Linked DNA regions of Caenorhabditis elegans. The gene in region 4 interacts genetically with the main gene of each other region. Each region holds a gene or a part of one and is shown on either strand. Other genes may lie near its edges. The genes, in order: asd-2, vig-1, rbm-3.2 and spn-4.

Evidence for each region.
Region 1: of spn-4 (region 4) and asd-2, a change in one rescues a mutant of the other (synthetic rescue), as found in Caenorhabditis elegans (one study listed by BioGRID).
Region 2: of spn-4 (region 4) and vig-1, a change in one rescues a mutant of the other (synthetic rescue), as found in Caenorhabditis elegans (one study listed by BioGRID).
Region 3: of spn-4 (region 4) and rbm-3.2, a change in one rescues a mutant of the other (synthetic rescue), as found in Caenorhabditis elegans (one study listed by BioGRID).

What each region holds. Positions count from the first base shown.
Region 1 is NC_003279.8:6,888,378-6,894,519, reverse strand, and holds the start of asd-2 (K Homology domain-containing protein), read left to right. Parts: upstream 1-2,376; 5' UTR 2,377-2,434; intron 2,435-2,997; exon of another isoform or gene 2,998-3,074; coding exon of another isoform or gene 3,075-3,107; intron 3,108-3,153; coding exon of another isoform or gene 3,154-3,416; intron 3,417-3,460; coding exon of another isoform or gene 3,461-3,771; intron 3,772-3,816; coding exon of another isoform or gene 3,817-3,962; intron 3,963-4,008; coding exon of another isoform or gene 4,009-4,135; intron 4,136-4,185; coding exon of another isoform or gene 4,186-4,424; intron 4,425-4,467; coding exon of another isoform or gene 4,468-4,559; intron 4,560-4,605; coding exon of another isoform or gene 4,606-5,266; exon of another isoform or gene 5,267-5,318; intron 5,319-5,635; exon of another isoform or gene 5,636-5,776; intron 5,777-6,142. Other genes in the region: C48B6.4 (Tyrosine-protein phosphatase domain-containing protein), read right to left, coding at 3,075-3,107, 3,154-3,416, 3,461-3,771, 3,817-3,962, 4,009-4,135, 4,186-4,424, 4,468-4,559, 4,606-5,266. UniProt on the Caenorhabditis elegans protein: RNA-binding protein that binds to the 5'-NACUAAY-N(1,20)-UAAY-3' consensus sequence in pre-mRNA introns to promote alternative splicing.
Region 2 is NC_003280.10:1,318,221-1,324,147, reverse strand, and holds vig-1 (Hyaluronan/mRNA-binding protein domain-containing protein), read right to left. Parts: upstream 3,112-5,927; 5' UTR 3,001-3,111; coding exon 2,937-3,000; intron 2,816-2,936; coding exon 2,702-2,815; intron 2,655-2,701; coding exon 2,471-2,654; intron 2,413-2,470; coding exon 1,986-2,412; intron 1,935-1,985; coding exon 1,587-1,934; 3' UTR 1,075-1,586; downstream 1-1,074. Other genes in the region: fcho-1 (FCH domain only protein 2), read right to left, coding at 3,894-4,019, 4,063-4,122, 4,170-4,396, 4,997-5,450, 5,527-5,771, 5,851-5,927.
Region 3 is NC_003279.8:11,908,769-11,913,083, forward strand, and holds rbm-3.2 (RRM domain-containing protein), read right to left. Parts: upstream 2,254-4,315; 5' UTR 2,189-2,253; coding exon 2,167-2,188; intron 1,974-2,166; coding exon 1,895-1,973; intron 1,810-1,894; coding exon 1,653-1,809; 3' UTR 1,560-1,652; downstream 1-1,559. Other genes in the region: exo-3 (exodeoxyribonuclease III), read right to left, coding at 190-438; rbm-3.1 (RRM domain-containing protein), read right to left, coding at 682-829, 885-963, 1,182-1,206; NEDD8-conjugating enzyme ubc-12, read left to right, coding at 2,559-2,652, 2,699-3,147; mag-1 (Protein mago nashi homolog), read right to left, coding at 3,379-3,777, 3,849-3,908.
Region 4 is NC_003283.11:6,781,864-6,787,281, forward strand, and holds spn-4 (RRM domain-containing protein), read right to left. Parts: upstream 3,041-5,418; 5' UTR 3,040-3,040; coding exon 2,990-3,039; intron 2,943-2,989; coding exon 2,838-2,942; intron 2,792-2,837; coding exon 2,729-2,791; intron 2,681-2,728; coding exon 1,965-2,680; intron 1,912-1,964; coding exon 1,790-1,911; 3' UTR 1,324-1,789; downstream 1-1,323. Other genes in the region: ZC404.15 (uncharacterized protein), read left to right, coding at 816-998, 1,090-1,265; spe-39 (Spermatogenesis-defective protein 39), read left to right, coding at 3,628-3,732, 3,898-4,058, 4,105-4,312, 4,364-4,525, 4,576-4,712, 4,768-5,083, 5,136-5,298, 5,349-5,418.

The DNA.
Region 1 (6,142 bases), on a different chromosome or scaffold from region 4:
GCCCATTGTTCTGTTCATGTCGTCGACCGGTCGCCTCTTCAACCGTCGATTACACATTTAACATCTCAATTGCCTTCTCCGCCGTGTACATTTTATTCAGTTTTCTTTTTTTTACGTCAAAATCGATCCCTTTAAGCGAATTCGCATGTGAATAAATCTAAATCTTCGAAAGATTGAATCCGAAATTTAAAAAATTACAGTACTCACCGATACTTTTTCAGTCACCGTGTAAATTCTCCTTTTCGTTTTTTTTTCTTCCTTTGTTTTCGCTGGTTTTCTTTGGTTTTTTTTTCACGAAATCTGTCCCAAATGACGGCTATTTCGAGGATTTTATGACGCTTGAATGTTTGCAAACAAACGGCTTTTTGCCTCCGACGACCCATCGTTGACTTGTTGAAAGCCTAAATTTCCAAAAAAAAAAGTTGAAAACAACAGAAATTCTGTCTGACATTCTCGCGTTAGTGTGTCTGCTATTTATGCAGAAATACTCCTGTAAATAAAATTTTTATCACGAAAGTAGATTTATTTTTTCCAGTCCACAAAATAGATCCGCAGTTATGCAGAAACTTGTGATAATCCGACGAATAAATATCAAAAACATCTCGAGTTCCCATTCAAGTTAATCATTTTCACAAATTTAACTCAACTAGATGATCAACTCAACATCTCTCCAGATACCTGTCACTAGAAATTATATCGTTCTGTTTCCTTTCACCATTTTCTTGCCTTCCGCTTTCATTTTTTCCTCATAAAACGAATCATGGGAACCCCGAAAAGATAGTGTTGATTGAACGGAGACGGATGATGGAAAAAGAAGAAAATACGCGCGCACACATGTTGTCAGTGATGGCTTTCCAGTGATTTTCCAATTTTTATTCGCGTGTGTTCTATATTGAGCTGCTCATCGAATGGATAAGTGTTTATTCTCTAATTACATTCGGATTGTTTTCCATATTGAACATAGTTAGTTACCGAAGAGATTATCTTCTCATCAAGTCTTTGCAATTAATGATATTTTCTAGAAAGGTTTTTTGCGGCGTCCATTTTTTCAAATTCTTGACGGAAATCCGACATTTAGAGCCAATCAATTGAGACAAAGTCGGGGTCCTTTAGTGCTTCCCGATGGCCTCAAATAGCAACAACTGGTGCGGAAAAGTGGGCAAAGAAGAATAAGAGGTCACCTGGCATCGTTACAACTGATCCGCCTGTCATTCTGTCCGTCTAAATCTCTCTAATCCGTAATCTATCGTCATATAAGTTTTCCTGAGCTCATCATCATGTCTTTCACTCTTTCTCTTCGTCCACTTCTCACTCATTTAAGCTTATTCCTTCTTCCTTTGCTTCTCGTTCGAATACTAAAAGAAAGGGTGTATGAAGATGATGACTATAATTAAATCTGCACGCGGCATGTATTAATTCATATTTAGTGGTGGTAGAGGACTCATAGTTTTCTTCATTCCCTCTACCGTGCAGTGAGACATTACTTTTGGAAAAATTTATTGAACTTTACAATAAATTTGAAATATGTAAAGTTGACATATATTTATACCGATACGATAGGGAAGCCAGCTTTTACGAGCACTTTTCCAGAAAACTTGTGTTTTACATCGAAAATACATTTAGCATGAATCTTTTCGCTCAAAATATTTCTGAAAATCTGAAAATGCGAACCCTAATTAATATTTAATTCGATTCGCGGATTTGCCAAATTCTCTTGTTATTCCTCGAATTTCTGGAAAACCCACATCTCGTTTTCTTTCTCTAATATAATCTTAATTCAGATTGAGCAATTCTAAACTTTCAATTTTTCCAATAAATTTTCTTAATACTCTTTACCCTTCCAATACCCTATCCAAAATACTTTCGTGTCAATTTTTCCAAGAATTATTCATATTTTTGAGGTGCAACTCTCACCCCAGTAAGAGAAGATTTTCATTTTTACACGAGGTAGCTTATAAATATCGATGAACTTATTTTTCCAAACAATCTGAGCTTCTCAAATCGAAGCAACAAGTGATATCACATTCAAAATAATTTCTGTCAATGTGGACAATTTCAGTCAGTTATTTGAAAAATACTGAAATTTAAAAAACCTTGCCATTGGAAAATATTCATTCATTGAAAGTATGCTTTCAATATTCTTGCCTCTTATTTCTTTTAGTGCCGCATTCCAACGATGACCTTCTCATTGCAATACATTTGAAAAATGAAAGTGTATGCCGACTGCCTAGGTGTTACGTAACTTGCCATCCAGCCGATTCGGTTTCTTCTCATTTGTTTATTCGCAAATAAAACACCTTATGCTTCTTAGCTCACTTTATCTTTATAGATTTTTATTAATTCAAAAATGACTCCAGTTTTAAATGTTTAATTTCCAGCCGTATTCCTGTCTTCACGCCACCCAATCGATTCTTCAAGTGCTAGGAGCTGTCAGGTAAGCTGTTATTTCTTTTAAAAATTTGTATTTAACTGTAAATAAGTAGAAAACCATTAACTTGAGAAAAGTTCTTCCAATATCCTTTCACCAATTTTATTCTCGTGTCTCGGACAATTCTATTATTCCATCATGCAAGCAATGTACCGGAAAATTGGTGCATTCATAAGGTGCATTCATAAGGCCATCCTTCAATTTCCTTTTACAAATGTTACCTTTTATTGTTTTTATTTTCGGTCCTCTTCCCCTTTACCTACTTTGTTCGGAGCTTTATAATCCTACAGTAATCTCTTAAATCTGAACCAGTTCCCATTGAATTCTTCTTTCCTCTACTTTTTAACATCGATGAATGTGGGTAACCACGGGTGTTAATATCGGGCAATAACGAAATAGTGCAGACTTCACTGGAGAGACCGTCAGAGAAATACCGACAAAGTATGTAATTATGTTCTCCTCCTTTCACCATCACTTCGATGTATTTACTTGCAAGTTTGGAGTTTGTTCACATTTTCAATTCTCCCTCTTATTCTTTTTTAAGGTCAATGCTTTCAGTTCAAAAATAATAAAGCCATATCACTTTATTAAAATTCCATAAAAATCTAGAATACCGTATTCAATATTAACTCTTTGCGTTGTTTTCTTAGGGACCATGAATCAGAAGTTGAGGATTTGACTAAAAAGGATATGGTTATAAATTCAAATAAATGAATCATTCAAACCTGACGTGATACATGCTCATTGATTATTTCGATGTTTCTAACTTTCGAATCAGTAACCTGATTCTTGACGATTTCGTGGAAATGAGTTACATTAACAACATTTTGATACTCAGACTCTCCCATCTTGAAAATCAGAAGTTGCTGTTTCTTCAGGTTCATCGATAATTGAGTCTCAATTCCGAGTCGTTTAACAGTATAAATTCCGCATGATTTCTCACTTTCACTGCCGTAGGGAAAATAGGAAGCACAGTTTGCAGTTTCTTCTGAAATTTAATTTTTTTTTGAAATCTGAGGTTTAAAATTTTACCCGGGTCTAAATCAGATATAGTGTGAATTGTTGGAATTCCTTTATGTAGAATCATTTGCCAAAAGTCTTGTGTCTGTTCTGGATCTGGACTGTTGGCATAAATTTGAATGACATTATTCAGACGGTTTTGAGATTGAATTGGATATGAGCCGAGCGATTTCTGTAGATCAAATTCCTCGGTTTCCAGTTTAACGAGATTTTCAACTTCGTCAGCTCCGCCAATTTGTCTTGATTGGCATCCAGACAGTGAGATCTGAGATGATGAAGAGGTCAGGAAACCCAAATAGCAAGATTTTTCGTAGAGAGCCTTTCTATAAAGAATGTTCGATTTTCATTTCACGGTATCGAAATCAAACCTAGCGTTGGCCGCCTGAATAGGTTGTGTCACGAAATCTGGAACACTGGATCCTTTCTTTTCAATGAGATATGAATTACGCTCCACAAGTCTATCCCGGAGAGGACTGAACTGCATTGGACCATGAAAAAGCCAGTGTTGAGTTGGCTTTAAAAATATAAGATTTATTATTTATTTTTTGATAAAAGCTTACCATATCATTCAAAAGATCTTTTCGAAGATTCTCAAACTCTTCATCTTCTTTTGTATAATCTTTTGATGGATATTCTTGAATATCTCGTTGACAGTGCCAAACAACATACCAACCATAATTTTCTGGTCTAAAAGTTAAAATCAAATCAGTATTAGTAATCTGAACACATTAACTTACACTAGTTTGCATCTTACTGCAAACTTTTGAATTTTGCAATGTCGATATGGATATTCTGGATCTGTCAATCGTCGTACAATTATCTGTCCACATTTGAGAATCTCTTGTTTATCGTCAGGAATATATTGCTTACAGTTGGCCCCTCGTTTCTCCAAAAACTTTCCAAACATTGTAATCAAGCTGATGCGATCTTTATGGCACTGAGTCCAAAAATCTTGTGTTCGAGTTGCGTCAGGGCCCTGAAAGAGTTATAGTGCATTTATTAATTATAATTTCACTTACCAGACATTCGAATTCCAACCCATGACCATTGATTGAAGACTCTACCATGTCAAACTCGTAGCTATTCAGAACTTGCTGACAGCAGGTTTTTTCTGAAATAAAATAACGATACTTGCGATGAAATAAACTGAAACTCACTATCTCTTTCATAATCCTCCTTTGTTGGAATCAATAAATTGGGCTCCGAGTCTTTGTGATTTTCATATTTTTCAAGAAGAGCATTCATATCATACTTTGGCCATCCATTTTCATCATCACTCAAATCAGTTAATAAATCATCAGCTTTACATTCAAGTTCATCAATTTCCTTCAAAATCTCTTCTTTTGGTTTTGATTTACCATAATTCCCAGGAATTCTTCCATGTTCGAGTTCGAAAAGTTCCTTTGGTGTAAGCATGGTTTTACGCTGTTTCAAAAATTCTCGATAGTTTTCCGAGCATACAAGTTCCCTTATATTGGAATGAGTTACATCAATTCCCTGATTGGCAAGATATAACAATGGATCAAATATCGACTCAACACTATCATCACTGGATTGTATATCAAGATGTTCATCGTCAACGCCACTTCCGGTAACATCCACCTCACTTCCAGAAGACACACGTGAGACTTCGGAGACATCACGAGAGATTCTTGAATCGGGAATCGATTCTTCGCATGTTTCTGGAATGACCGGCACTTCCAATATGAAATCTTGAGACTTTGCAACAACGGCGGGACCAGATTCAATATCGACTTTTGTATAATATCGATCCGCTGGTGGCGAGATTTTCGCCTTTTTTGATGATTTTGCACCCATTTTGTGCAAGTTGGAAGACTTCAAAACTCGTAGAAGTTTAAAATGATTGTCTTCGCAAGATTTTATAATCGTGGTTTATTGATCTTCCCTTGTGTACGTTGAAATCAATAATTATGTTTTCAAATGTTTTCACGTCAAAAATGGATTCGTTTTCAAGAATGTTCATATTTTCTGAATATTATCATTCAGTCTTTCTTCAAATGATTTTTAAAAAATAACATTTTTTAATTTTTCTTTGAACAACTCGTGCTCATCCCCTTTCGAACGCTTCTACTGGAACACTTGTTCCATTTTTCGATCCGTTTACATCATCTTATTTTTTAAATTTTGTCACACCAAGCAGTAAAATCCTAAGTGTATATGTCTCTATGTCTCTTTGGAAGACACTTCCGGTATCCGGAAGAGCCGACGGATGCGCGCGCCAATCCTTGTGCGACTGCGGCACTGCAATGGAGAGATGACGGCGGCAATGTTGAAAATGATCACAACAACCGAATAAATGATATATTCATCTTGCGTTAAAAAACACGATTTTCTTCTAATTCCGATAAGATCTTCATTCGAATAATTATATTAAAATGTGCCAAAGCTTCTTGTTATCAATTCTTCCTTTTTTTAAATTCAGATTCTCTTTAAAGCTTGGAGTATTATTTTCTTTTATTGTAGCTTTTTCAAACTGAACATTAAAAAAATTAGGAAAAAAATATTCACAATTTATTTTTTTTTCCGAAATCTTCTGATAAAACACTATAGAATATCTTCCAAAAATGTAAACACGAAAACATCCGTCTAGATAATTCCCGTTTTACGTGACGAATAAGAGGCTTTTGAGCCTACGCTCATCTCACTTGATTCTTAAATTTATTATATAAAGAT
Region 2 (5,927 bases), on a different chromosome or scaffold from region 4:
ATGTAGTTTGTAGTCTAGCAGACCAATTTGGGGGGCCCATTTCGAAGCTCTAATTTTCGCAAAATGTTGACAAAAACTGAATATTTGAAAAATTATCTGTTACACAGCAGCACAATTCATTCAAAACATGATAAAACTTTCAAAAATCGGCCAAAACTCACGTCAGCTTGGGTCTAATTCTTTTGTGTAGTTTGTAGTCTAGCAGACCAATTTAAGGGAAAAACCATTTTTGAGCATTTTTTTTAAAAATAAAATGAATTGTACTTCTCTTCTGCTGTAAACAGTGTCTTGAGAGCTAAAAACTGAAAAAAAAATCCCTAAATTCAGTCAATTTTTAATTTAAGATTGGTCTGTTAAATAATTGTAGTTTGTAGTCCAGCAGACCCATACGAAACTCTAATAATTTGGGTCTGCTAAATACGACTTGTAGTTTGTAGCCTAGCAGACCAAAACTCTTCAAAAGCTCATGGGTCTGCTAAACACAGACTCTAGTTTGTAGTCTAGCAGACCAAATTCTCATTGGTCTGCCATTTCAGAATTGTAGTTTATAGTCTAAAAAGCTTCTCAGGGGACCTAATTCAATTTCAAATTCGGACGCCGCTGCTGTCATAAAATCGTTACTAAACTTGCGAAATAGCAATTTCCAAAGAGAGAAGAGTCGCAGGAAGATTTAATTAAAAATTAAATTATTTCGAACGCAAGCTCGCTCTATTGAGAATCTGAAGAATTAAAAATTCTAATTTAGGCGGCTAACAGAAGGGAAATCAATAAGAAGTGAAAGGAGAGCAAAAGTTTTTGCCGAGCAATGGGGAGGGGGGGGGGTGCTCCCTCTCTCCCGCTGAAGAAGACGTCGCGGCTCTCTAAAAGAGGCGGCAGAGAATCAGAGCACTCGGCTCGCGGCCTAGAAATGGCATGTGTCAGGCCACGCCCCTGTGGTTGGTTTAGACCGTTTTATTACAAAATACGGATACAGTTGGGTGGGGGGGGGGGGGGGGGGTGTGTGGAGGCAAAAAGAAGAAAAATGGGTGTTTGTGTGTGTGTGTGATATAGAATGATTGGGGTGTTTAACACAAAAATGATGCTTTATCAAATCTTGTTAACAACAAACTCCAATTAAAACGAAACCTGGGCGCAATGGGGTGGTGGTTGGAAGGGGCACAAATTGAGTTTCCTAGTACTAGTTCGTTGATCCTTGACACAATTGAGACCTTTTGTTGTGTCAAATATTTGGTAAAGAAGAGGTCGTCTTGGTGGGTGTATGTGGAAGATCAAGGGATTCAAAGGGCTTAAAAATTAAAGAAAAAACGGGAGATAACAAGCAAACCAAATCGAGGGCAACTCATCAGAAGAGAGATCGATAAGGCAGGTGATAACAACAACAAGCTAAATGGGGGAACTAGAAAAAAAAGAAAAATAAGAAACAGGCATTTTGGAAACGAACAATTTGTGGGGTAGATGGGCACAGGCAAAGATATTGAAAAGAGGAGAATTTTGAAGAAAACAAGATGGAGAGAAGAACAGAGCATTTGAATGAGGGCGGGCGAATTGGTTGGTTGGCTGAAGGTCGTTGAGTGGGGGGGGGGGAATTACTTGGCACCGAGAGCTGGGAAAGCATCGTCAGAAGCGTTGAATGGAGTGTTGTTGCGTCCTCCATGACCTCCTTGACGTTGTCCTCCACGGCCTCCACCGCGTCCACCTCCTCTTGGTCCTCCACGTTGCGGCCTCTCAGAACGGTCGTTGCGCTCGCGTTCTGGACGATCGTTGCGGAAAGTGATCGAAATGTCGAGCACTTGCTTTCTTGGAGCCTTGTGGATTACGACGACCTCGTCTTCCTCACGATCTGGGATGACCTCCTTCTTGATTGGAACGAGCTTGCCAAAAGTATCGGCGGCTCCCTCTCCGGCCTTTCTGGTGTTGAACTTTGGAGCGTCAGCCTGAAACAAAAAAAAAAATAAATTCCAAAACTAATATTTTATACGACTCACCTTAGCCGCAGCCTTGAACTCCTTAAGAGTCTTTTGCTTGGCAAGAACAGCCAACTCAGCCTCGTAGGCGAGCTCCTCAGCGGTCTTCTCACGTGGAACCTCTGGCTCGGTGCTCTCAGCGCCCTCTGGAGCAATGTTCTCGGTTTCTCCAGCCAACTCGTCCTTCTGGTCTCCCCAGTTGCCCTTTCCGTGTCCGTCCTTCTTGTCGAATGAGCGAACTCCGGTACGGTCGGATCCGGATTGACGATCGAATTGACGCCCACGTCCACCACGGCCTCCTCCACGTCCGCCAGATGGTCCACCTCCAAGGGTGAATCCTCCACGACGTCTTGGGGCACGGGTATCTTGTCCGTCTTCGAAAGAGACCTCTTGCTTTGGCTCCTCTCCTTCTCTGTTCTCGCGAGTGAATCCTCCGCGGCCTCCACGTCTAAAATACAAAGTTCAGTAAAATGAAAAAAAAAATTAAAAATTTAAGCGTTTCTTACCCAGCTGGACGAGCAGCACCGCGCTCACCGCCTCTGCGGGGTCCTCCACGACGGTTCTCGCCTTGTGGACGATCACCGTTCTCGTTGGAGACACGTTCTCCGTCACGTGGACGGCCGGCTCCCCCGCGTCCGCGACCACGTCCTCCGCGTCCACGTCCAGCAGCACCGTCGGTTTTGGTGGCGGCTGAAATAATGTTTAATTAATTTAAGAATAGGAATGCCAATTCTTACCAACTGGAGCAGCGGCTGGCTTGACCGGCTGGGCGGGCTTCACAGACTTTTCCTCCTTCTTCTTGGCGGCGATTTGAGACACCTTTTGGATGAGCTCTCTTGGGTCGTCATACTCTGCAAATTATCGATTTTTTATAATGTCTTCTGGGCGGAGTATATCGCATATGAATATTGCGCAATATCCCATCGGGAAGATAAGATAATCATCCGGCGATCATCATCATCAACCACTCACCATCGTCGTCGTCGGATGGAAGACCGAACTTGTTGGTGACCTGGCAACCGTATTCAGTGCTCATTTTTGCTGTTTGTGTTGATTCGATGAAGATAAGATTCCAAGTGCAGGAAGCTTCTGTTCAATTCAATAATTTCAATGCCAAGTTAATCAATAACCCATAATATGGGGATACCTGCAAGAACGTTAGTTTAGATTTCAAATTTTCAAACAAAAATCGATATTTAAGAAAAGAGTATAATTAGCCAGACACCGTTGCGATATTTTAAATCAGTTAAGCACTTTTCACAACTAAAATCAAAAAATAAAAAAAGCAAATTGCATTTTCTTAAGGGAATTTTTGAATGTTCCAGAAAGAAATCGAATCAAAAGTCAGAAAATCAACAATTGCTCAAAATCCACTATTTCGGAATAAAATAAACATTTTTCAGTGCAATTTTGATCAAAAATCGGTGATTTACTGCTAGCAACCCAAAAAATTACAAAAAACCGGCGAAAACGGTCAAAAAAAATCGGAAAAACTGTTCAAATCGGACAGGTGAAGGTTTGGCTGCGTATCACAATAGTGTAAACTGGCGTTTGCGAGCCGCTACGCAGCCAAATGCGACCGCCGAAATGGGCGGCAGTTTGAAATCGAAAACTAGTCCTCGGCCATTTTCAATCAATTTTTGGTTGGGGGAAAACTTGTTTTCCAATTGTTTTTGTTGTCTTAAAGTATTTGAAAAGAAATTTATGACATTTCCAGCCCAAAATGTGTGTAAAAAAAGTAAAAATGCCGGGAAAAAGTATTTATTACAGCGGGGGATAACGAATAATAGTGGAAAAACTCGTTTGGTGGTGAAAAATTGGAAAACTAGAAGTTGAAAGTTTGTTAAAATCACAGATTTCGCGAGAATTATGCTATATTTACACAGAAAAATTAAAACAAAAATCAAATTAAAAAGCTCTTCATCTTCTCTATTTCCGCAGCTCGGGATCACAAAAATATTTACCAGCGAGCACCTTTTTACGAATCATAGACAGGTGATAAATATCCGATTGCACTAGGGAAATGTCCACTCCAGATAGATTGGCTTCCAGGCACTGAAAAAGATAAATTAAGAGCTTAAATTTCAGTTTTTAGTACCTGAAATTGCACGAAGACCTGCGCCGGCTTCCGATCGAGCATTTCCAAGCTTACTTCGTCCTGGAAAATTATATATTTTTTATTTTAAAGCAATTAAAAAGCCCGACCCCAGAATTCTTCATAAATATCCTTGCTTTCAGCGATCCGTGCACATCTCCATTTCTTGAAATTTCCAGCAAATTCCAGCCGAGTGACGGATTTCCAGCCACCCATTTGGCTTCTGGCTCACACATCACAGAATCCACGCTTCCCGTCAAATTTGTGCTGAAATTCACGTTGAGAAGTGGCGCCGAGATGGAAGATTCTGAGTTGAGGCGATAGTCGACACGGAGATCTGAAAAGAAATGCGGATTTTTATTATTAGGCTTTATTTTTGGCGTTTGCATTTAAAAAGTACTACAAAAAACTCAATTTTATTTAGCAGACTCAGCAATTTTGCCAATTTCAATAAAAAATTTGGGTCTGCTACACTACAAACTACAAAATCAAATTTAGCAGACCTATCAATTTTCTGCAGTTTTTAATAAATTTTGGTCTGCTAGACTACAAACTACAAACTCTTAATTAGCAGACCCATCAATTTTCTGCAGTTTTTAATAAATTTTGGTCTGCTACACTACAAACTACAAAATCAAATTTAGCAGACCTATCAATTTTCTGCAGTTTTTAATAAATTTTGGTCTGCTAGACTACAAACTACAAACTCTTAATTAGCAGACCCATCAATTTTCTGCAGTTTTTAATAAATTTTGGTCTGCTAGACTACAAACTACAAAGTCTTATTTAGCAGACCAATCAATTACTGCGCTTTTTAGGAAATTTTGGTCTGCTAGACTACAAACTACAAACTCTTAATTAGCAGACCCATCAATTTTTCGCAATTAATATTAAAAATTCAAATTTTCTCAAAAACACAGAAGATTTCTCGACGAACCAGTGTGTCCAGGTTCGAATTTCCAGTACGACGTCAGGAATAGCGGCGGAACCATATTACACGGTGCCGTCGGCTCCATTTCGAACCGCGCGACCTCCGCGTTCACAAATGCCGCATCCGGCTTCGCGAGCTTCTGTGCTTGAAGCCACGTGGCAAGATGGGTCTTGTTAAAGTAGAAAATGCACATCTCGTCGTCCTTTTTGCTCACATTCTCATCGATAAGTTGCTTGTTGGGGAGCACTGATTTAATGAATTTAGCATTTGAGAGCCGGAATGCTAGTGGCTCAATTTCGTGTTGGATGGACGTGAGAAGAGTTATTGATGACGTTGGAAATGATATCATTACGGTGCCGAAAGTGCGCTGAATGAACTCTTCGGCTCCTTTTTTGAACCAAACATGCACGTGCTCGTTGATGGCCATGGCTAGCGGAATTCGCTGTTCGGATATTGTGGCCTGAAATTTGAAAAAAAAATCAACATTTTCGAGTTTCTTGAACCCTGAATCTTAAGCCTGAAGCCTGAAGCCTTACCTGCAATAAATTCCCGGTAGACTGTGACAAATTAAACGTGGATTCTCCAAGGGAATGATTCGATTCACTGGGCGCCAAATTGAAAGTACTACTCCACGGATCCATAAAGCTGCTCGCCGAGTCCTTCCGGCTCATCATTTGGCTCGTGGTGGGAGTGTTGCTTCGGGGCCGAGCTCGTGCGATTCCGGCCGCCATCGCCTGGTTATGACCCATGGAAACGGAGAAGGCAGGAGGATCCTCGGATTCTGGAATTAGGATTTCTTTTCAAATTTAGGAAATTCTACTAGAAAAGTTTAAAATATCGAAGAAAGAATATTAAATTACCACTAAAATTAGTCCTAAACCGTCCGTCAGCAGTGTGATGTGAGCGTAGAGGTTGCCGAAGGGAAGAGACATTCATC
Region 3 (4,315 bases), on a different chromosome or scaffold from region 4:
GTTATTTTTATGCAAATTTCTTTTGAATTGCGATTTTCTTTGTAGATTTCAGGAAAAATAGTGAATTTCCGCTTGGATTTAATGGAAATTTCTACGTTTTTTCGTTTAAAATGTGTTAATAAACATATTTTTGATGAAACCCGGCCGTAAAATATGCGAAAAATCTCTTTTCTTCCAGGAATTCCTTACCTTAAACGTCTCCTCCATCTCCGGGGGCCACTCCTTACACTTGGTCTCTCCTAGAAAAACGAGGTCAGGCTCCTCGGCGAGCACTTCCTTAAAATCACTTTTCTTCACACAAGCTCTGAGCCCTGCCACGTTCCAGCACACAAACTTCCAGCTTTTCTGATTATTGTCCTCTTCTGCCGGCTTCACCTTCTTTGTGAAGATCGAGGCGAGCTTTGGTGCTGGTGCTTCTTCTGCTTTTCGCTTCGACATTTTCAGCAACAGGTTAGTAGTCGAGTAGGCTCTTGAACGGAGCAGCTGGGGAAGAAGAAAGTTGAATCAGGTCGGCGGATGGAAGGATGACAAATAGAGAAACTTCCCCGAATGTTGAACAGATTAGTTAGAGAATAGTTGAAATTGAATTAAATAATTAAATCGATAGTTTCATTGGATTGTTATTAATAATGAGATCAGTGAAGAGCAAAAAAGTAACAAAAACCCGATATGAAGATCAACTTATTTGTTGGCGAGGTTGACGCGGAGTGGTCTTCCATTGAACTCGGCTCCATTCATCTGCTCGACGGCTCTCTGTGCGGATCCTTCCTCGGCGAACTCGATGAAGGCGAATCCACGTGGACGTCCGGTTTCGCGATCACAGACGATTCTGAAAGAGATATTGCGTTAGAAATCATGAAGCTCGGGCTGGCTGGGAGAGTTACCTGACGTTGTTGATTTGTCCGATGCTGCTGAAGAAGTTTCCAAGCTCCTCCTCGGTGGTCTGGAATGGAGCGTTTCCAACTAAAAAAAAGGAAAATTTTAATTGATTTAAATATTTCGCAACCAAATTTGAATCTAAACACTTAAAATTGCCTTTTCAAATGAAAATATTAGGGAAAACTTCGCGAATTCGATTTTTCCGAAAAATCCCAAAATTTCAGGACAATATCGAGTTTTATTGGCTATTTTAACCAGTTTCCGATTGTTTAATACTTAAAATAAATTATTAAAAAACTAACCGTAAACAGAGAAGATTCCAGACATGACGATTTTAGGCCGTAGCAGAAAATTTATGACGGTTTAATTTTTCCGCTCACCCTGCCTTGGAGAAAACGTGCGGCAGTTGCGTAAAAACCGTGCCAGGGTTGCGTTTTGGCCCCGCCCCTCGAATAGCATCGATTTCGACAGATTTTTTCCATTTCAAGCTGAAAATATGAGGAATTAGTCCAAAATAAGACCGCGAAGAGTGTTGAAACTTGAATTTTCAGTTGTAAGCTCACATTGGGCTGCGCATAGCCCAGGATTCAAAACTTGCTCGAACCGAAGCCGTTCCTTCAAGCTTCTAGCCTCAACGCTTGCCATCAGATTGACCCCAAATGAAGATTCGAAATAAAAAAATAGAGCATATATATTTATGATAACGATTTCATGGGTTTATTATTATTGAGATCATTAAAGATCAAACAAGTAACAAAGTACCGATATGAAAATTAGTTGTTTCTGTTTTGAGCCAAGTTGACGCGTAGAGCTCTTCCGTTGAAATCGACTCCGTTGAATTGGTCGACGGCTCTCTGGGCAGCGGCCTCCTCGGTGAACTCGACGAAGGCGAATCCACGTGGACGTCCGGTCTCGCGGTCGCAAACGATTCTGAAAATAGAGATTCATATTGAGAGTTAACGGGTCGTCGTTCAGGAGGTTTCGGGAAGAGGAGATTTCGGGGAGAGAAGCTTACCTGACGTTGCTGACGTTTCCAGCCTGGCTGAAGTAGTTGCCAAGGTCGTCCTCGGTAGTTTGGAATGGAGCGTTTCCGACTGAAAAATGCATTAAAATTATTAAAAACTCAAATTATCTCAGCCTAATCAAATACAATAAATAGAAAAACGCCTGGAGAAAAATAAAAATTTTAGGCCAGACTTTAAATTCGGCTTTTCTCGATTAAAATCTGCTTTTAAAGCTGAATATTCCAGTTTTCTACTTGAATAATTTACAATTAACAAAACTAACCGTAAACAGAGAATCCAGACATGACGATTTTAGGCCGGAGCGTAAATATGTGTGATTCGAATCGTTTTCGCTTGCCTCCTCCGACTCGTGGGAAACCGTGCGGCACTTGCGGTAAAAGTGTGCCAGCCTTGCGTTCGCGCTCCGCCCCCTTTAGTCATTTCAGCGTTAGCAAACGCTGCGTCTTTTATTCCTCATTCTCTGTCATTTTTCATAGCAATTGTTTCATTTTCTCACGTAATTTGTCGTTTTTTCGCTGAATTACAAGATTTTCATCGATTTTTGACCCTTTTACACTGTAATTTTGCCAAAAAAACGATTATTTTCTCTATGTTTCCGTATGCGCCGCCTATATCGCTGAAAATTATCGTATTTCTTAATTTTTCGCTTTCAGAATGTTCAATCTTCAAAAACGAATCAACGGCAACAACGAGGACGGTCGGTATCTTGAAACCCGCATCGCCGTCCGTGACAAGCTCCTAGCTCAGGGTATGTGGCTGCTTTATAAAAAATTTTGATTTTACAACATTTTCAGAACTCCAACAGCTGGAGACTGCTCTTCGCGATCAGAAGCAAAAGCTGTGGCATCTCGAGGTCCCATCAACATCGTGTCTTCATGAGTTGGAACTCACCGTGACACCTCAAGAAGGAATCTATCGTGGAGGCAAATTCCGATTCAAGATCACCGTCCCGCCAGAGTACAACAACGTGCCGCCCGTTGTTAAGTGCCTGACAAAGGTTTGGCATCCAAATATCAACGAGGACGGATCGATTTGTCTATCGATTTTGCGTCAAAACTCGTTGGATCAATACGGATGGCGTCCAACGCGTAACCTCACCGACGTCGTCCACGGACTCGTCTCACTGTTCAACGATCTTATGGACTTCAACGACGCGCTGAACATTCAAGCCGCCCAGATGTGGAGTCAGAATCGCGAATCGTTCAATCATCGTGTTCGGGAATACATTTCTAGATATTGCTAAGGACCAACGGATCGGATTACAAATGGCCTGTGAATTGACCCCCCCTATGAAATTGATTTTGATTCTAACTTTTCCCCCACCTCTCAGACTTTTTCTAACTGTACTTTTTGAAAGAAATAAAATTTATTCTTGAGAAATTTGAGAACTTAAGAAGAGAAGAGAAAATCGAATAAATTAAACAAGTTAAAGAGATTTGGTGGATAAAATAGAACAGAGTCTGAAGGAATTAAATTAGATTGGCTTGATCTTGAAGTGAAGGCCAATGAGCGAGAAGACGAGGCACTTGAGATCCTGAACGAGATAGTAGAACGAGCGGAGACCATCCGGATCTTTCGAGTTGTTCACATCGGCTAGAGCTCCGATTTTGCCGGTCGTAAACGAGATGTGCTCGTTTTTGTACAGAATTTCCAGCTCCTGGCGTCCAATCTTGTCTGGTTCTGGCCAATTGTCATCGTCCTCCTGCATGATTTCCGAGTCTTCGATGATACGCTTGAGCTCGCTGAGCACCGATTCCGACACTGTCGCCTCTTTGCGGATCATCGTGTCATTCTTGTAGTTGGAGTTGTTCGCGTAGCGAAGCGATCCGTTTGGACGGAATTCGAATTCGAGAAATTCGTGACCGAATTTTCCCTGAAAATTGTTTCGTAAACTAATTTAAATTGGCGAAAATTGTCATTTTTCCAAGATTTTCCAAGACCTACCTTGTGTCCAACGTAGTAACGAACGTAAAAGTCCGCTGCCTTCTCTTCTTCGCCGCTCATTCTGAAAATAAATAGGAATTGAGAAAATCCAAACATCCATTAAATAAAACCGGGTGAAAATTAGAATTTCAAGGTAAAAAAACCTGATTTTTCAGTGAAAATTCACAAAAGAAAGATGATAAATAGGTTTATATTGTGATAAATTCGATAAAAACTGTGTTTTTAGACAAGAAACGATAGAAAATATCCTTTAAAATATAGAGAAAAGAAATCCGATAAAAATTCGAAAACGCCGAAATCTGTGCATTTGTGCGCGGCGGTGTATGCACCACCGGCACCACACTTGACGACGGAAATTTTTTAATTGTCGATTTAACGAAAGATTTAAATAGATTTGAGGATCAATAGAGGTTTAGAGAAGTTGAGATTCGTATAAATTAAAGAAATAGTTTGAAGAGACGATATAA
Region 4 (5,418 bases):
AATTAAATTGGCGGAAGAAGCCGTCGATGTTTGTTCGTTTTCATTCAGAGCACCCGTTCGTTTGCTTTTTTCGGTGAAACGAGTAAAGGGAGTAATTGCAGACGGAACTCTTCGTTTCTTGTTTGTTTTAACTCGTCACTGAGCTCTTCTCATGTTGATGAATAAGCGGTGAACGCAAAGCAGGCAAAGAGATGCATAATCCGCGGTGTGCTGAAAGAGATTGGGTGAAAATAATTGCCTATTTTGAAAGTTGACGTCAAAAAATATGGAAAGAAAATAACTATATTGTTTTTGGGAAGAAAACGAAGATGGTGACAAATTACATGTCGGGATTCTTGTTTTAGTGTGTTAAGGGGCCATTCCTATATGATATTACGAGAACACTGAATTTCAAGAATGCGTATTGAGCAAAATATCTCGTAGCGAAAACTACAGTAATTTTTTTAAATGACTACTGTAGTGCTCGTGTCGATTTTCGAAAATGTTTTCTTTTCGAATTTGGACAGCGGGTTTCAATTTTGCTTCGCTTTTTCGAATTGTAAATAATTTTAATTGATAATCGCTGCCAAAGTTCGAGAAAATATTTTCGAAAATTGAGCCCGTAAATCGACACGAGCACTACAGTAGTCATTTAAAAAATTACTGTAGTTTTCGCTACGAGATATTTTGCGCGTCAGATGTTGTGCAATTCGCATTCTCAAAATGTAAATAGTGTTCCTGTAATATAGGCGCTGGGGAATTTTAGAGAAAATCAAAATCTATAGGAAAAAACTATGAAAATTCCAAGTTTGCCTAATAATGCATATTTATTTCAGGTATCTTCATTCCTGTTTCGTGCCTATTTTGTTGGGTAAGCGGTGGTTGTCGACGATCGAAATCCCGTCGAATGTCCTTCTTCGCAACACTTTCAAGTCGTCAAAATCGAAGTCGACGTGGCACAGGAAATGATGAGGAGCGAAGCAGTTTGTACCCTTCCTCTCCACCCACTCTTCAAATCCGTAAGTTTCTCTCTCTCTCTCGTGTTTTCCCATCCATTTTGAAGTTATCATCAAAAACCACAAAACTTCAAAATTCACCAAACTTTTCCAGCAGCATCCACAAAGTGCCGACAGCCATCGTCCTTTTCTCTTCCCGCAGTCTCTCACGACGTCATTTTAGAAGAGAGTGAATCTTCTGATCATGAATGGAGGAAGGCCAAGAGGTGCCGAAAGATAACATTTGATCTCTCAATGACACGCCGGGATAATGATCTTTCACAACTGTGATTAAATTCAAACTGAAATCTAGTATTAACGGGTGATTTTGAAAATAAAACAATTGAATATGGCGAAGCACTTCATTTGACTTCGAGCAATACAGGAATGCAAAAATAACTGGCGAACACAGCGTCTATAAAATACAAAAAAAACAGAAAGATGCTCAGAAAATACAATACGTGGGCACATTCAATAATGTTAGCAAGCGAGGTAGGTTAAACGGACTGGTAGTATATTTTCAATATAGAAGATCTGTTTTCCGATTGCTAATGTTGAGTGTATGTGAGAGATGGCAAAATAGGGAAGATGCTGAAACGCATTCCTACAAAATAACACCGGGGGGGTCGATATAGAAGCTACAGGGAAGAAAAACTAGCAACGAATCATTTGACAAGGACAACGAGTGTCGCTGTACAAGAAGATTCCGTAAAAAATTTGTTAAAGCTTTTTGGTTAAGTGAAAGTTTAGGGGTGTTCGATAAAATGCAAAACACGCAGTTAGTAGAAATAAAATGGGCGTATCAGTTGAACTGATTACTGGCTTGACGATTCTTTTGGTGGAGAAACAGACTTTCCGTGGAACGATGTGGAACCTTCGTAGAGAGCAGCGAGAAGATAATCAGGGCTGTTATGTGGGGACCAATGAATCTCTTCGTCTAAAATTTGATTTTTAAATGAAAATCGACAATCTAGAATCTAAACTATTTACCTGAAACTGTCTCGCTCTCTGATGATCTCAATCCAGAAGATGTCACAGATGGTGCTCTCTTTCCTTTGTTAGCACTATTATTTCCTGATCCAAAATGGTTTGAAGTGTCGAGAAGAGCAGTAATCTGGTCACGAAGATGATGTGGGAATATAGAGTTCAACTCCACATCAGACAGCTCGTGATTCGAAGAATCAGAACACTTATTGCTGCATGGTGAGTTTTGTCTGTGCATGCACATCAGAATACTTGTTTCCGTCGTAGGCTCGCCGTTTTTGCAGAAGTATTCACCAGCTGAAGAAAGCTTGAGCTCGCTGTGCTTGGTGCATCGAGGTGGTTTGGTCTGCACAAGACTACGCGTGTTGAAAATTCCATTGCTACGGTATGGTGCCATCATGAATCCAGCTTCGGGAAAACATGTTGTGTTCTCCTTTTCCTTGAACAACTGATGCATTGGCTCAGCTCTCCATAAATTATGAGGGGCTCGAAGATCGACACACAGCTTTGGTGGTGGCAAAACTTCATTTTGTGGATTGTTGATAAGCTTTCTGCGGGTTGGTGTCGCTCTTCTCACTTCTATAATTCTTCCTTGAACATGTGATTCGTGAAGCGCAGCACGAGCTTTCTCACAGGATTCGATGGAATCGAGTGTGACAAACCCGAACCCTTTGGATCCACGATCATTTGTGACGATTTCCACACTCAGGACTCTTCCATATCTGAAATTAATATTCTTATTCAGAACTTGTTGTAAATTGAAAACTCACGCGAAGAACATTGCCGCCAAATCTTGTTCACGAAACGAGAAGGGAATATTGCTGACATATATCCTAAAAGTTTTTTGATGAATTCATTAAAACGGCACGACAAATTTACCTGTTATCTGTGAAAGAAGCCGGCTCACGAGTTTTCGGTTTGACCGATATTGGCATTGTGAAAATTGGATCTTTGTTGGAAGGATTCGCACTGTTAAACGGTAATCTGAAAAAGAAATACTTAATACCAACATTTAAAAATGATAAACATACCCATCATGTGCTCTGTGAGCGAAGTTAGTAAATATCTGTGTGTTTTGCATTCTGAAAAAAAAAGTTGAATAAAGAAAAATGAGGAACTGGGTAAAGAAAAGACAAGACAACAGAAGACAAGTGCAGAAATGATTCCAAATGATGATAAAACGATTGAAAATATAATTTCACATTTTCCCGCCACCGAGTTACAGAAAAATCTAAAATCAAAATTTCGCGCCTTTGTGATCTTCTAGATTTCTAGTTCATACGAACGTCGGATCAGGTCTAAAAGTTAATATAACTAGACAATTTTGTGTTCTATTTTCGATTAAAAAAATTATTTTACGAATTACTAGAAACTAAAGCTTTAATTCGATTTTCTTTAGGCCAAGAGCAAAAAATAATTTTATTTGATTCAAACTCGCGCTTCATTCATAAGCCCCGCCTTCGCAATCCTGGCACGCAGTTTTTGCAAGGAGCGTGCACGCAGTTGCCTTTCTTCTCTTTTTCTCGTTTCATGTCAATTGCGTTTTTTTTCTCTGCATTTATTTTTTATTGAATTCTTTTCCCATTTTCCCATAAAATTTTATCTATTTTTTCTCATTCTTATAGTTTCTTTCAGATACTTTGCAAAAGAAATGATAATATTATAAAGAATGGCCCTTCGAAGGAAATTCACTTTTGAACTTCCGGAAGACAGTTATTGGAATGAATCTGACTCGAATTCATCCGGATTGTTTGATGATTTACAATCAAAACAAGTAAGTTTTAACGTAGTTATTATATTAAGAAAAAACGAAAAAAATCTTTTAAAACTATAAACGTGACCAGATGTTTTACTTTTAAAAAATTGAAAAAAAAGTAAATTAACACGTTTCTTAATTATTATATTGCTCAAATCAATGTGTTTAACACGAAAATTAAAGCTTCAAGCTCGAGCAGCCGTCGACAATCTCTTCGGTGGCGATGAGACTCCGAAGCCGTACGTCCGACCGCAGAACCCAACGCCAACTCCCACAAATGTTCCACTGCAAATTGACGGAAGAGCTGCTGCTGTGTCAGACAAGGCGAATATTCGAATAACAGAGTAAGTTAATTACATTGTTTTATGAATATAAATAAGTAATTTGCAGTACCTCTCCTCGGGCTTCTGGCAAGATTGTAGATGATTTCTTGAACATGAAATTCGCTGAGAACGTTAACGTGGCGCCAGTTATTCAGACCGCTCCATCTGTGGTTTCTGAAGCAAGTGCAAGTAGTTTACCAAGTGAAGCACAACGTCTTGATTTGGATTATAATCGATTGAGACAAGAACATCGGAAACTTAAAGATCAGCACGAAGTTAGCTATTAAAGTTTTAATATAGAATTTTGAAGATAATTATGATTCTAGGTTCTTCGCCACGAACGGTTTCAGCCGCTTACAATCGAGGCTAGTATCAAGAGAATGCTTCAAGGGCATACTGTAACACTGGATTACTATAGGTCATTACGTGATAAGACACAACTTTTGAAGCAAGCAGTTGCCACGTACGACAATAATACAATTTTCAAGGTCCGAACAGCTATGATACTAATTTTTTAAAAAGTTATCTTTCTTTACAGATTGTGATTTTTCTAGAGAGAACTCTCAAGGAAAACATATTCTGCAAAATAATGGATGGCCAGAAAAGTGCATGCCGAGTTTACACACGACATCTTCAGATCACCGGCGAGTGGGACAAGATGAACAAGTTTTTACGGTATTTAATAAAAACTAAATTAAAATTTGTTGAAATCAATTTCCCCATTTTATAGTAGCATTGGTCAGTATCAACATGCATCTGTCATTGAATTCGAAGCTACGCGAAAATACAAACGAAATCCAGACAAGCGAGTCCCGTTGCTCCGAACCATGCTTCATGGTAGCTTCTCAATTCCTGAAATGAAATTTGAAGCCCGACAAATGGAAGCGTTGATGAGAAACTATGAAATCCAATTGCAAATGGAGAAAATGGATGCTGGAGATAAAGGAGAACATTTCCGAAAGTTTCCAAAAACCAGCTCTCTAATTGGATTACCTGCTCTATCGTCACTGTATTATTCAGCGATGTACCATTACGACGATTCACCGGTACATTACTCTTCAGAACGTTGCAAAATCATTCATAATCGATGTATTACAGACATCTGCAGCTTCTCTACCATCAGTTCAAACATTGATCCGATTCAATGATCGACTTGCCACTCAAACGATCGTCTCAGCGTTGACTCGACTAAGCCGTTGGCCAGATATCGATAAGCTACTTCAACCGAAAACTATCACCATGACGTTCAGTGCAGCTAAAAGTAATTTTGTGGTTTTAGCTGAGAAAATATCTAAATTAACTGAATTTCAGGTGTGTTCAAAGGCAAAAAATCAACCAGTAAATGGGGAGTTTCCATCAATAATCACAATTTGCTGACTAT